Linked DNA regions of Arabidopsis thaliana. The protein of the gene in region 1 interacts with the protein of each later gene in a pairwise test. Each region holds a gene or a part of one and is shown in the gene's direction. Other genes may lie near its edges.

What was found.
Region 2: the proteins of TBL36 (region 1) and ABCG2 interact in a protein complementation assay, tested with the Arabidopsis thaliana proteins (one large-scale study listed by BioGRID).
Region 3: the proteins of TBL36 (region 1) and AT5G64870 interact in a protein complementation assay, tested with the Arabidopsis thaliana proteins (one large-scale study listed by BioGRID).

The regions. Positions count from the first base shown.
Region 1 is NC_003074.8:20,083,784-20,088,819, reverse strand, and holds TBL36 (TRICHOME BIREFRINGENCE-LIKE 36), read left to right. Parts: upstream 1-1,852; 5' UTR 1,853-2,074; coding exon 2,075-2,385; intron 2,386-2,571; coding exon 2,572-2,743; intron 2,744-2,828; coding exon 2,829-3,010; intron 3,011-3,167; coding exon 3,168-3,317; intron 3,318-3,398; coding exon 3,399-3,723; 3' UTR 3,724-3,849; downstream 3,850-5,036. Other genes in the region: AT3G54270 (sucrose-6F-phosphate phosphohydrolase family protein), read left to right, coding at 98-292, 375-665, 819-1,005, 1,169-1,215, 1,312-1,401; AT3G54250 (GHMP kinase family protein), read left to right, coding at 4,132-4,341, 4,446-4,644, 4,728-4,791, 4,952-5,036. UniProt on the Arabidopsis thaliana protein: May act as a bridging protein that binds pectin and other cell wall polysaccharides. Probably involved in maintaining esterification of pectins. May be involved in the specific O-acetylation of cell wall polymers.
Region 2 is NC_003071.7:15,672,516-15,678,009, reverse strand, and holds ABCG2 (ABC-2 type transporter family protein), read left to right. Parts: upstream 1-2,089; 5' UTR 2,090-2,187; coding exon 2,188-4,455; 3' UTR 4,456-4,568; downstream 4,569-5,494.
Region 3 is NC_003076.8:25,928,506-25,933,153, reverse strand, and holds AT5G64870 (SPFH/Band 7/PHB domain-containing membrane-associated protein family), read left to right. Parts: upstream 1-1,769; 5' UTR 1,770-1,845; coding exon 1,846-2,209; intron 2,210-2,302; coding exon 2,303-3,378; 3' UTR 3,379-3,722; downstream 3,723-4,648. Other genes in the region: AT5G64880 (uncharacterized protein), read right to left, coding at 520-801; DPE1 (disproportionating enzyme), read left to right, coding at 4,366-4,648. UniProt on the Arabidopsis thaliana protein: May act as a scaffolding protein within caveolar membranes, functionally participating in formation of caveolae or caveolae-like vesicles.

The DNA.
Region 1 (5,036 bases):
GTGAGATTTTTGTGTGTACTCTTTATGTGAGCTTGATGGCTACATTCTTATCATAGATTGTTACTTTTGGTGCTGATGACAGTAAAATTCATTATAGGTGGATGTGAAGCTGGTTTATAGTAATGGATATGCTTTTGATGTATTACCAAGAGGAGCTGGCAAACAAGGTGCTTTGACATATCTACTTGACAAGTTGGATATTGAAGGCAAGCAGCCTTCTAACACACTTGTTTGTGGTGACTCTGGAAATGATGCTGAGCTTTTCAACATTTCTGACGTATATGGCGTAATGGTTAGTTCCCAACTACTTTTTTTTAGGTTCGATCATACTTGACTACGCGTGAGTGATTGTGCTTATATTTTTACTGTTTAAGGTTAGCAATTCGCATGAAGAATTATTGCAATGGTATGAAGAAAATGCAAAGGACAACCCAAAAATATTTCATGCGTCTGAGAGGTGTGGAGCTGGTATGATAGAAGCTATTCAGAGGTTTAATTTGGGACCAAATGTCTCTCCTAGAGATGTTATGGACACTGAAAATTTCCATGGGGAAAGTTTGAATCCTGCTCATGAGGTTGTTCAGTTTTATTTGTTTTATGAGAGATGGCGTTGTGGAGAGGTGGAAAAGTCTGACAAGTACTTGCAGAATTTGAAATCGCTCTCTGTAAGTGTGTTTATTTGACAAAAAAAAGCTCTCTAGCATCTAACGTAATGGAAATTCAAGTGCTCAAATTGATAATTTTGAAGATGTTCTTGATTGCTTGTGTTGTGTAGACTTATTAGTTGACGTAATTGTTATGCTTTTGCAATGTTTCAGAGTCCACTTGGTATTTTTGTTCATCCGTCTGGAGTGGAGAAACCGATACATGAATGGATAGATGAGATGGAAAATTTATACGGTGATGGGAAGGAAAAGAAGTTTCGCATTTGGTTGGATAATGTTACGTCTTCTCATATCAGTTCAGATACATGGCTTGCAAAATTTGTAAAGCATGAGTTATCTGGTAAGAAATCTTGTTCTTCAATTACATGGCTTATACTTGTGACTTATCGAGCTAGGAAATGATTTAGCAGAAAATACGATCAACTGATTTGTTTGATTTCTCATCATAAGGGTATACTGTAGAAGTTTGCTTCCATGTTCTAATGTCTAGCTCGTGTTTACAGAGGGAAAAGTACGGTCTTGTTCAACAAAAGTCTTACTGAGTTATAAGGTAAACCTTGATTTATGATCCTTTTAAGATTTCAAACGATTAGATTGGTTAAATAATATTGGAAAAAAATAACTGAAAATGGGTTAAAATTGAAAGGAGGAAAAGCAAAGGCTGACGTGGATGCACATCCACCAATCATGGTTAGATGAATCTTCTTCAGATGATCAAGAAAAATGGATTTTCTAAAGGATTATCTTAATCTCGACTGACATACTAAAGATGACATCTGTTTGGGACAGAAGCTAACCAAAGAGCATAGTGTTTGTTTTGTGTTATGTTTGTTTGGGGATGGTGTGAGTTTGATAAAGCATGAAGGATACTAAAAGCTGAAGAAGGTGTTGCCATGTCTTGGTTTCGTTTCATTAATACTTTTTTACATATTTGGGTTAACTTAAAACTATTAATAAGGAAGGTTGGGTCCTGAATTTGGTCTGTTCATGACCTTTTGAGGGCAGGGAGAGTTTTGGGTCTCTACAACAAAACCTACATTTCTTTAGTCTTACAAAACCTACCATTGTGTTTGATTTGCAATTCTTTTTTCTGGTTTATATGGATTGTTTTCTACTATTTCTGTTTGTTTTTGTTGAGAAACTATTTCGATTTTTTAAACCATATACAAAACGCTCCACCAAACTCACAAATCCCGCCTTGGATACTGTAATCTGTTTTTATAAAAAAATGATATGATGGAGAGAAGAGGAGACGCAAGTCACGGGACATGATTTCAAGCATAAGTCTAATTACTAATTACCACCACTTTCCGTAATTAACGCCCTTTTTCACTTTATCCACTTTTTGTTGCCCATCTTCTTTATATTATTTCTTTCTCCAAGCCCACACTGCTCAGTTTCCTGGTCAAATGGCTACCTCAGAGACTCGAGTCTTGTTCTTATCTTTGTGTCTCATCCTTGGCAAAGTAGTTTTGTCTCAGTTTGATGAGTTATGGCTAGTAGGGGACGATGATCCACTCAACGCCTTGCAGACGAGGCGTGAAAGAAGAGAGGAGAGGTGTGATTACTCGGTGGGGAAATGGACGTTCGATGAAACGTATCCGCTCTATGATTCAAGCTGTCCATATCTGAGTTCTGCACTAAGTTGCCAAAGAAATGGAAGACCCGACTCTTATTACCAGAAATGGAGATGGATCCCTAAGGCTTGTTCACTACCAAGGCACACTCCACACTCCTCTTACTTCTTACATTACTTCTTTTTAAAATTTCTGTCTCATCAAGTAAAAAAGTTGGTTTATATTGGCTTTGCATGGTTAATTGCAAGATGAATAAATTGACTAATGAAAAATGGGAAAGAGACATTAATATTAACCAAAATAGTGGCTCTTTCCATGATGGTGTTTAGGTTTGACGCATTGAAATTTCTTGGGAAAATGAGAGGAAAAAGAATAATGCTGGTTGGAGATTCAATGATGAGAAACCAGTGGGAATCTCTTGTCTGCTTAGTACAGTCTGTTCTTCCCACTCATCGTAAGAAGCTCACTTACAATGGTCCTACGATGTCTTTCCATTCTCTGGTAATTAATAATCACAAATCTCCTTTTGAATCACATATACATCATTGGTTAGTAGATGCAACTATTAAATTTGGTTACTATACAGGATTTTGAGACATCAATTGAGTTTTGTTGGGCTCCTCTGCTTGTGGAACTCAAGAGAGGAGTTGACCGTAAAAGGGTGTTACATTTGGACTCAATCGAAGACAATGCTAGATATTGGCGTGGTGTAGATGTTCTTGTATTCGATTCCGCTCACTGGTGGACTCACTCTCAGAGATGGAGTTCGTAAGTCATCTGAATAAACACTTACATCTTTCCTTCAAAAGCAAATGATTAGTGTATAACGGTTCATAGACGTCTATGTTCATTGTATTTGTTATTGTGTCTCATTTTACATCAGATTTGGGATTTGTGACAGTAACGCAAGCTATTGATGTTTTAGGTGGGATTATTACATGGATGGGAATAAGATCTTCAAAGCTATGGACCCAATGGTTGCTTATGAGAGAGGACTAACCACATGGGCTAAATGGGTTGAGATAAATCTTGATCCATCCAAAACAAAAGTCATTTTCCGCACTGTCTCACCGAGGTTTTTTCTTATATTCTCCTCTTAATCTCAACATATATACAAAATGGACACCATTAATTCATGTACATAAATTCTTGGCAGAGAGAGTGGTCAGATGTGCTACAACCAGAAACATCCCTTGCCTTCTTTATCTTCTTCCACCAAACCCCACGTGCCTCAACAGTCAAGAGTGTTGAACAAAGTGCTAAGGACAATGAAATACCGAGTGTATTTATACGATATCACAACAATGTCTGCGTATAGAAGAGACGGTCATCCTTCGGTGTTCAAGAGAGCAATGCACGAGGAAGAGAAGCACCATCGTATCGCTGGACCTTCATCAGATTGCAGTCATTGGTGCTTGCCCGGTGTCCCGGATATTTGGAATGAGATGCTTTCTTCAATTATCTTAACCAATGCTGTATGAGCTATAATAAGAGTCTGTTTTTACTCATGAACAATGGTGTTACTTATATGAATCAGTGGTTTATATATTACATATCCTTTCCCAGCTAACAAATATCCCAATATCAAAGACAAGACAACTCAAAGGCCTTTAAGCATAAAGTTCATGCATCACAATGATTTTCGTGTTTTGGTTATTTCTTACCTAACTCAATTTTTTTCCTAAAACGTTTTAGGTTAAGTTTTGGTGTTTTCATCAAAATGGCAATAACCATTTGATTAGAGTTTTACAGTTAGTGAAGTTCTCAATTTTTGAATAAAATAATATTTTTAAAATTGTAAAGGCAATGAGTCATCATTATTCTGTCGTATTCTCCGTCGCTTTCATTTTCAACTACTTTGAAGCTGCAGATCTCTTTTGGAGATTCACATGGCGACGGAGAAATGGGTGTTCATGGTGACGGCGCAAACTCCGACGAACATTGCGGTGATTAAGTATTGGGGAAAGAGAGATGAGGTTCGGATTCTCCCCGTTAACGATAGCATTAGCGTAACTCTTGATCCTGATCATCTCTGCACAGTCACCACTGTTGCCGTTAGTCCTGCTTTTGATCGGGATCGAATGTGGCTCAATGGCAAGGTACACTCGCTTCATTTCCCATCACGATCTCTCTCCTTTTGCTGAGATTCCAATTATCGAATTACAAAGATTTTTGTTGTTGTTGTTGTTTCATGTTAGTGTAGGAAATATCTCTTTCTGGAAGTAGGTACCAAAATTGTTTGAGGGAAATACGAGGTCGTGCTGGTGATGTTGAAGACATGGAAAAGGGGATCAAGATAAGGAAGAAAGATTGGGAGAAATTGAATCTACATATTGCTTCTCATAATAACTTCCCTACTGCTGCTGGCTTAGCATCTTCAGCTGCTGGATTTGCTTGTCTAGGTATTCTGCTTTTTCTCTCTGTTGATGATTATGAGCTTGAGAATGGCTTGTAGTTTATGTCAAACTGTTTTTTTTGCCTACAGTTTTTTCTCTTGCAAAGTTGATGAATGTAGATGAAGATCCAAGCCATCTTTCTGCAATAGCCAGGTACCTATGTAGTGGACTTCCTTGCACTATATATCAATGCTTTGATTTATGTATAGTCATCTACTAATGCATGAGTTGTGATAGTGAAGTGAAATCTGACACTCCTCTAGGAATTAAATGGTACTGATATTCATGGTTTGATTTCTGTTTGCTCATGTAGGCAAGGTTCAGGAAGTGCTTGCCGGAGTTTATTTGGTGGATTTGTCAAGTGGACAATGGGAAGCAAAGAAGATGGAAGTGACAGC
Region 2 (5,494 bases), on another chromosome or scaffold:
AAGTTCCTTGTACGTGACAATGACGATATGAAATTCAGTTTTCTAAGACTCAAGCACAAACACTTAGCTTAGAATGGTCTCTTGCAAGCGCTCTATGTGAATAAGTTATAAAGTGTTTGCTACATGTTTTGCTTTTTCCGGTAATTGTGATTTCAGCTTCTGGGCATTGACTTATATACATCCTAATCTAGCAATACATAAAGGTTTTTAGATTTTGAAAGGTAATATTCGCATGCTCAAAAGGTAATATGCAAAATTATATGATAGTTTTTGTTTGTTTGTTTGCGGTCGCTAGCAACAACGACCATCAAAATACTTTGTTAACTGGTTTGCAGTTGCTATAGCATAATTCAATCGATGCAATATATTGTTATCACTATAACTTGTCACTATTGCTAACGATTTCAAAACGATCATGATTTGATCAAATCTATATCACTGATGACTACAAACAAAGATTAACTACGACTAATTTCGATAATAAGGGACAATGAAGAGATCATCGAAAAACAGATATTCTTGGATATTTTTCGTTAGTTATATTCGAAAGTTTATATTATATTTTCTAGCAAACAGGAACAGGCCCTCAATCATGTTCGACCAAATTAGCTGCCAGAACTGGTTCTCTTTGATAACATTTGTTTATATAGATATAAGAATTTGTTCAACATTTATTTTAACTATTAAACAAAATTGAAAGGGACAGGCGTCATAAAACAAACAAATAGTATTACGTATACAGATTTATGTGGATCATGTGATCTCTTGTAAGAATGGGTAAATAGAATCATCTAGGTCTTATATATTGAAGCGTATAGTATAAAGTTCTGGAAAACAGATATAACAGCCATACCAAACGTTTTATATGCCTACTTCTCCACGTTAGTCTTATATAATGCATTTCTTTTGGGTATTATATGCCTATTTTTTCACGTTAATGAGAATTTTGGGTTTTCGTGTAACCCACTCATACTATTGAAGTCGTGTCCACATTTATGTTCCAGTGACTTTCTAATTACTATTTAGATTACTATATGCCCATGTTGCTCAGGATACCTATGTGATAATGTTCCACATATAAGCTTACTTATTTCTTGATAATCTCTCGTAATTTAAGTTGTGCTCTCATGTTTTCAATCGAAATCGAAATGGCATACGTAAAATTTTATGAACTTTTCAGATATAGTCAGTTAGTAATGAGTGAGTAATATACTTGAGAGATATATATTTGGTTTAATCAAAATTTAACTTGTATTTTTGTTGCTTAATTCAAATATTTTCCTTTTATAATACTTTGCCACTTCTTACTCGTTTGCTAATTAAATATTTTGCCACCTCAAGTATGTGACTGATTCTGAACAATTTGTTTTTGTTCGATTGATTATGGAGGACAAGTACTGAATTACATCCGAATAATGTGACTTTTTCTCTTGCTAGATATACTTTTTTTTTGTAAAAATCTTGCTAGATACTTTTTTTTTTTTGGTCAAACAATCTTGCTAGATACTTAAGTATCCAAAACATGTTATTTTGTGGTATCTCTCAATAAAAAATATCAACCATCCTCATTCCTCCGAAAAGAAATGTTTTCATTTGTCAACAAAAAAAGATAACGACAGTTTTACACTAATAAAATAAAATAAGACAATATTGTAACGTTAGTTTTAATAAGATAGGTACGAGTTTGCCGCTTTGGCACGATTTGGACAGCTAGCTGCTCAGTAACAGTCAAATCTAATTTTGCACGTACGTTATTCGCAACACTAATTACGCCTATAATGATTTCAATCCCTTAAGACCCGTGTAACTAAACCCAAATAGTTACTTAAAACTCTAGAAAATAGCGAATTTTCAAACTACCTTAAGCCCCAAGAAATAGATATAAACATAATGAGGAAGAAAAATCGAGAAGGGTTTTTGTACAACTTCCTCTCACCTACCCATTTACTTTTAGGTTTGTACATTACATCAAAACATACAAAACCCAGAAGCTATCGTTAGATACTTAGAGATTACCTACTATATTGACCATTTCGTATCTCTTTCATTCTTATAATAAAAAAATATCTCTTTACTTTATAGTAGTCTCTTCTCTCATTCCTCCTATATCCTATTCGTGTCTTCTTTGTGGGTATGAGCTATATAACCCACATAACCTGAGAAGATTAAGACAAAAATACATAGAAAATGTCTGGCTTGCTCGGAAAATCATCTCCGGCCAAACGGGTTGATGGCAACAATGATCTTCCTATGTATTATGTAAACCCGATGTCCGTGGAGCCTCAAGGACGTCCAAGCGACACGACTAGAGTCTCTGTCACATTCGCCGAGCATCTTATGAACGTGGAGGATGCAAGGAATGATGAAAGTGCAAGTAGCCGGGCTCTGGGAATTGCCTCACCTATCAATTCTGCTGCATCCTCTTTCAATTCATGGGCCTCTGCTCCTGCTTCTTCTATATCTTCTTCCCCGTTTGTTCTTTCATTCACTGACTTGACCTACAGCGTGAAGATCCAGAAGAAGTTTAATCCCCTCGCTTGCTGCAGAAGGTCAGGAAATGATTCCTCGGTGAACACTAAGATACTATTGAATGGTATTTCAGGTGAAGCCCGCGAAGGGGAGATGATGGCGGTTCTTGGAGCAAGTGGGTCCGGTAAATCAACACTGATCGATGCATTAGCCAACCGGATCGCAAAAGATAGCCTCAGGGGATCCATTACCTTAAACGGAGAAGTTCTTGAATCAAGCATGCAGAAAGTCATATCGGCTTACGTGATGCAAGACGACCTTCTCTTCCCGATGCTTACCGTGGAGGAAACTCTAATGTTCTCTGCAGAGTTCAGGCTCCCTCGTTCACTCTCCAAGAAGAAGAAGAAAGCAAGGGTTCAAGCTCTGATTGACCAATTAGGCCTAAGGAGCGCTGCAAAAACCGTGATTGGTGATGAAGGCCACAGAGGAGTGTCTGGAGGAGAAAGGAGACGGGTATCAATTGGAAACGACATAATCCATGACCCAATCATCCTCTTTCTAGATGAGCCAACCTCAGGGCTCGACTCTACAAGCGCCTACATGGTTATCAAAGTCCTTCAGAGAATCGCACAAAGTGGCAGCATAGTTATCATGTCAATCCATCAGCCTAGTTACAGAATCATGGGTCTTCTAGATCAGTTAATCTTCCTTTCTAAGGGAAACACAGTCTACAGCGGCTCACCAACACATCTCCCTCAGTTCTTCTCAGAATTCAAGCACCCAATTCCTGAAAACGAGAACAAAACAGAGTTCGCTCTCGATCTCATCCGAGAGCTGGAATATTCTACAGAAGGAACCAAGCCACTTGTCGAGTTCCACAAGCAATGGCGAGCAAAGCAAGCACCAAGCTACAACAACAATAACAAGAGAAACACCAACGTATCTTCTCTCAAAGAAGCGATAACCGCGAGTATCTCAAGAGGGAAACTCGTCTCTGGAGCAACGAACAACAACTCATCAAACCTAACACCATCATTCCAAACATTCGCCAATCCTTTCTGGATTGAAATGATAGTAATAGGCAAACGTGCTATATTAAACTCAAGAAGACAACCAGAACTCCTCGGAATGAGACTAGGAGCTGTAATGGTCACCGGAATCATCCTAGCTACAATGTTCACTAACCTAGACAATTCCCCAAAAGGAGCACAAGAACGTTTAGGATTCTTCGCATTCGCAATGTCAACAACATTCTACACATGTGCAGAAGCAATCCCAGTCTTTCTACAAGAACGTTACATATTCATGAGAGAAACAGCTTACAACGCTTACCGGAGATCCTCCTACGTCCTCTCTCAATCCATAATCTCAATCCCGGCCTTAATCGTCCTCTCCGCAAGCTTCGCCGCCACAACATTCTGGGCCGTTGGTCTCGACGGAGGCGCCAATGGTTTCTTCTTCTTCTACTTCACAATCCTAGCCTCATTTTGGGCAGGAAGCTCCTTCGTAACGTTCCTCTCCGGCGTTATACCAAACGTAATGCTCGGATTCACAGTCGTAGTAGCGATCCTCGCTTACTTCCTCCTCTTCTCCGGATTCTTCATCTCTCGAGATCGAATTCCTGTTTACTGGCTCTGGTTCCATTACATCTCCTTGGTGAAATACCCTTACGAAGGAGTGTTGCAGAACGAATTTCAAAATCCGACGAGATGTTTCGCCAGAGGAGTTCAGTTATTCGACAATTCGCCGTTGGGGGAGTTTCCGAACGATGTGAAAGTGAATCTGTTGAAGAGTATGAGCGGTGTATTGGGGACGAATGTGACGGCGGAGACTTGTGTGACGACGGGGATTGATATTTTGAAACAGCAAGGGATTACGGATATTAGTAAATGGAATTGTTTGTGGATTACTGTTGCTTGGGGTTTTTTCTTTAGGGTTTTGTTTTATTTCACTCTCTTGATTGGTAGCAAGAACAAACGGAAGTGATTAAACAGTTGTTCTTTTTTTTTTTTTGAAAAAAGGTTTGTTGTAATTTTGTTTCCTTTTTCTTTCAATTATATAATTGTATGTCCTTGCTATATTTAATCGATTAATTAAAGAATAATAAAGTCATAATTTATGAAATGAAAAATACCGGTGATATTTATATATCTTCATTCTTTTTATTCTGTAAAAAATGAAAGTGCTTTAGGAAAAAAAAATGCTAAATGTTAAAAAAAAAACAGAAAATAAAAATCTAAGCTAATTGCTATTAGTATTTCTTTAATAACAAAATAGGATTATAGGCGGACTTTGATTTGTTCATCAAAGAATAGTTTATAACATGAATTGGTAAACGGTAAAATTTATCCTAGAAGGTAGAAGATAGATGTCATAAACTATGCATAAATAGATAGATGTCATAACAAATCTGATCACTTTTAGATGTTGTAAGTTTTTAAAGATTAGAGGATCCAATTTGTTATAATGAATTTGCATAACTAGATATATAGTTTAGTCTGGATAACTCATTACTATTAGTCTTTAAGCAAATGTGATCAGAGTGTGCAACATAGAAGAATACCGAGACATACAAAACTTGCAATTTGTAAACCACCATTCTTATTTTACAATTTACACAAATTAAATGGGCCTTATTAATATAAGGCCCAACAGATTGCAAAATGGTGAATATGGCAACATCGATTCTTATCTCTTTTTAAAGATATTTACCGTTGGTTTAGGACACAACACCAAATTATTACCGTTGGATTTAGTCGGTTCTGTCTGAAGCCCATTTTTGTTTTTTTCTGTCAGCGTCTGAAGCCCATTTATAAACACTTGAAAACCATACTTTAGCTACCTTACGCTGTTCTTCCCCTTTCCTTCCGAAATTAGGGCTTCCGTGTTTCGCAGTGCTCTCCTTCAATCCCCAGGTATCGAAACTCTGCTCAATTCGATGATTCATATTGAAATTTAGTGCTTTCACTGCTCGGAATTACGATTTTATATTGGTTCGATGCATCTGCGGTGATGGTTTCCTTAG
Region 3 (4,648 bases), on another chromosome or scaffold:
TAAACCCTGATGGTTATGGCCTTACTGTCAAAAACCTAGAACAAAGAGTATTAACAATAACGATATGATTCAGAAACCATACTTAGGATGATTACTTTTGCTATGTTTAGATAACTTTTCACTATTTCCTAATTTCAGAACCCAGAACATTGAAAAAAACCCATCATTTCAACTTTTAGCTAACTCTAACAATCAAAAGTGGCTACTTTCCAGCTAATTATGGCTGCCACTTTCTCCCATTAATTCTTAATTGCAATCTAAACCCCTTAAGTTCCACAAAACCCCTGGAAATTCCCCATTACTTTTGTTTCCCGTTCCCAGAAGCCACAATGAAGAAACTGAACGAACATCGATCTAGCTGAAATCGTCTCAGTCTACTAATTATCTAATTCAGCATTCAAAAATCAATTCCAACCACAAGAGATCTCAGTTTAGGAACAGTAAGTCAACGTAGAGCAGGTACGACTAAATCCATGATTCGTCGACGAAATTGAAAGAGACAGATAGTATTAGAGTTACCTGATGAGACTGTACGAGACTTGAATTGACGGAAAACCCCAAACCATGGTGACTGATCGGAATCGGATTTCCAGAAAGAAATCGCTTAGAGAGAGATGAACCAGAGGTAGAAGGAACAGAATCAGAAGACGAGTAGCTGTTATCTACGATATCAAAGGAGAATATTCCGATGACGCAAAGAAGGAGTAAGAGGAGGACGAAGACCAACATTTGGATCCAAATTAGCCATGGGATATTATTGTAGCTATCTAAAACCAAAAACTCTTTCCCAGAATCCACCATTTTTTGTAGAGAGATAAGAGTTTTTCCCGGGAAGAGAGATTTGAGGTAACGATTGAGGAGGAGGAAGAAGAAGAAAGACGACAATCAAACGAAGACGACGAAGGAGTTGGGTGAAGGGGAAAAGATAAAACGACGAAGCTGTGATATTCAGGTCACCGCGAGAAAATAACGGCAAAAATCTTGCTTTTTGTTGATAGTCCACGTGTAACACATTAATTGGTTAAATAGGTGAAAACACTTGATATTTATGTAATTTGTTATAGTGTTTATTAAATATTTTAATTCGATTTTTTATAAATTATTTATATTTTAATTAGTCATTACTGTTTATTCATTAAATTAGCTAATGTATTCTTCGTTTATGATAGAGACAAAAAAAAAAAAAAAAATCCAGATGTATTTAAATTTCTAAATCAACGACAAACGTATAAAATTAGCTATAAATGTGTAAATATAGTAGTTTTTTTTCTTTAGGTAAATTCAGTAGTTAAAATAAAAAAAACCTAAAAATATAGCTATAATATTTTTTCGGAAGCATTAAATTTCCATATTGAATTTACATGCTATGTTGTATATACATGCCCGAAATTTCTTGGATGTTTCACGTGTATCCACCATATATTATAGCTTACAAATAAATAAAGTTAAAGATAAACATAAAAACAACATCTAAACTATAAAAAATATGCATGTATTTATCATTACATAAAAAAATAAATTATGTAGATATGTATCAAAATACAAGATTTCCACATAATTTTGTTATCAATTATATTATCTTTTAACATTCAAATTTAGCCAAAACAGTTATAGAATTTTGTAAATAACCGCGTTTCAATGAAATTTCGTAGAAAGTAGAAAAGAATATAAAAGCTTAATTCAAGAGAATATTTTTTTTTTATTTTTTTTTATTTTTTATTTACGCGTATTAAAAACTTGTATATAAGTTAAATCCTTTCTTATGATCCTCTCCACAAACAAACTTGTACTAGAAAAATCCCTAAATCTCAACAAAACCCTAATTTCAAGGAAGACGAAGAAAGAATGAGTTACAGAGTCGCTAAAGCATCGCAGTATCTTGCGATCACCGGTGGTGGGATCACAGACATCAAGCTTGCAAAGAAGTCTTGGGTGTTTCCATGGCAGTCTTGCACCGTCTTCGACGTTTCTCCGGTGAACTACACGTTCGAGGTTCAAGCTATGAGTTCCGAGAAACTTCCCTTTGTTATTCCTGCTGTTTTCACAATCGGTCCTCGCGTTGATGATCCTCACGCTCTCTTGTTGTATGCCATGCTTATGTCTCAACACGATAAGCACTCGAATCACGTCAATGAGCTTGTTCAGGGTGTTATCGAAGGAGAGACTCGTGTTCTTGTTGCTTCCATGACTATGGAAGAGGTCTTCAAAGGTAACCAAACATACCCTTTTTGATTATCTTCTTTATTTCTGAGTTCTGTTTTAATATAATTGTTTGAACTGTGTTTGAATTGTGGAATTGTAGGAACAAAGGAGTTTAAGAAGGAAGTGTTTGACAAGGTTCAGCTAGAGCTAAACCAGTTTGGTCTTGTGATCTACAACGCCAATGTGAAGCAGCTTGTTGATGTGCCTGGACATGAGTACTTCTCTTACTTGGGCCAGAAGACTCAGATGGAAGCAGCAAACCAAGCCAAGATCGATGTAGCAGAGGCAAAGATGAAGGGAGAGGTTGGTGCCAAAGAAAGGACTGGACTCACAATCCAGAATGCAGCCAAGATTGACGCTGAGTCAAAGATCATCTCTACTCAAAGGCTAGGAGAAGGGACAAAAGAGGAGATCAAGGTGAAGACTGAAGTCAAAGTGTTTCAGAATGAGAAAGAGGCTCTTGTTGCTAAGGCTGATGCAGCACTTGCGATTCAAAAGGCTGCTTTGTCCCAAAACTCTCGTGTGGCTGAGGTTGAAGCAGCCAAGGCTGTTGCTTTGAGGGAAGCTGAGCTTCAGACTAAAGTAGAGAAGATGAATGCATTGACTCGGACAGAGAAGCTTAAAGCTGAGTTCCTCAGTAAAGCCAGTGTTGAGTATGAAACTAAGGTGCAAGAAGCGAACTGGGAGTTGTACAATAAGCAAAAGCAAGCAGAAGCTGTTCTTTACGAGAAGCAGAAGCAAGCGGAAGCGACGAAAGCTGCAGCTGATGCTGCCTTCTATTCAAAACAGAAAGATGCAGAGGGACTTGTCGCAATGGCCGATGCTCAGGGGACTTACCTCAAGACCCTCTTAGGCGCAGTTAACAATGATTACTCAGCCATGAGAGACTTCTTGATGATCAACAATGGCATTTATCAGGATATTGCCAAGACCAATGCTGTTGCGATCAGGGACCTGCAGCCTAAGATCAGCGTGTGGAACCATGGTGGTGCTGAGCAGGGGATGAACGGTGGTGGTAAAGCTACGATGAACGATATTGCTGGACTCTACAAGATGTTACCACCGGTTCTTGATACGGTTTATGAGCAGACAGGGATGCAGCCACCAGCTTGGATTGGTACATTGCGTGGTGCTGAGCCCAAACAATCACTTCATGCTCAACAACACAGAGGTTGAGATCTCAAATGTTGCTTCTTTAATTATACTTTTAGCTGTTGGGGTTTGTTTTCTTTTTCTTATGTTATAGAACTTGGAAGTTAGAGTTTGAAGTTAAAACAATAGTATCTGACAAATGCGACTTCGACTAGTGATTTCGATAAGGATGTGTTTTTCCTTTTTCAAATGTCAGATTTATTATTGCGTGTTGAAGATACCTTTCTTCTCTCTTGATACACTAATATAAATAACATGTTTAGTGGTGGTCTACTAAAATAAACAGAAGGGGATTATCAACACATGATTGCTTCAATAGTTGAATGCAATTGTGGAGATGGATGTACCTTCCAGATGGATAATCAAGGAATGATATTATTATATCTACATAAATTCTGTCACCATCGGATAAATAGTTCAACAACACCTACCACTTTATTATGATGCTACTTTTTGTAATGCATCAGGCAGGGCTCAAGGGACCATGCTCCAATTATTTGTTCCTCATATCGGAATATCTTTAAGAGTGGTCCTCACCACCTCTCTGTGAACTGCAAATTCCTCTTTTTAGCAGAAAAGTATCATATACGGAAGCTGCATGTTTATTGAATAATATATTGACCAGTCGATGAAACTGCGAGGATGGTAGATGATACCACTGCATTTAAATTATATATTTATAAAAATATATTGACTATAGTAAAACATAAAATAAATAGCTGAAACAGTTTATAATTATTTAATAGTCCATTGAACCAATTTATTATTCTGGATCTCATGGGTTTTTAACTTTTAAGGGATATAGGATCCGATCTCGACGGCCTAAAAAAGGCCCAAAATACGGCCTTGAAAATGGCGCCCATTCACGAGAGTTTCCTTACACCGCACGTGATGATCACGTGATCTCACTCTCACACTCTCTCAAGAGCAACAAAATATCTCGACTGTTTTTGATTTTGTCATCTGGTGGATTAGAGTGGAGTGGAGCTTTGAATTGGATGATCATTATCCATGTCGATTCTACTTAGGCCGTCGTCCTCTCCTTCACTCTGTTCTTCTCTCAAGCTTTTCCGATTATCCTCTCCGGATTCTTTAATCGACGCAGCTGTCCTCAGGAACAGGACAAAGCCGTCGCAGTCGTTTCGAATGGAGGTCGTTTCGAGTAATTCCACGTGTCTTTCTAGTATTAGCGTCGGTGAAGATTTTCCATCAGAATATGAGCAGTGGCTACCGGTTCCGGATCCAGAGAGCAGGAGAAGAGCTGGCGTTTTGCTACACCCGACGTCGTTTCGTG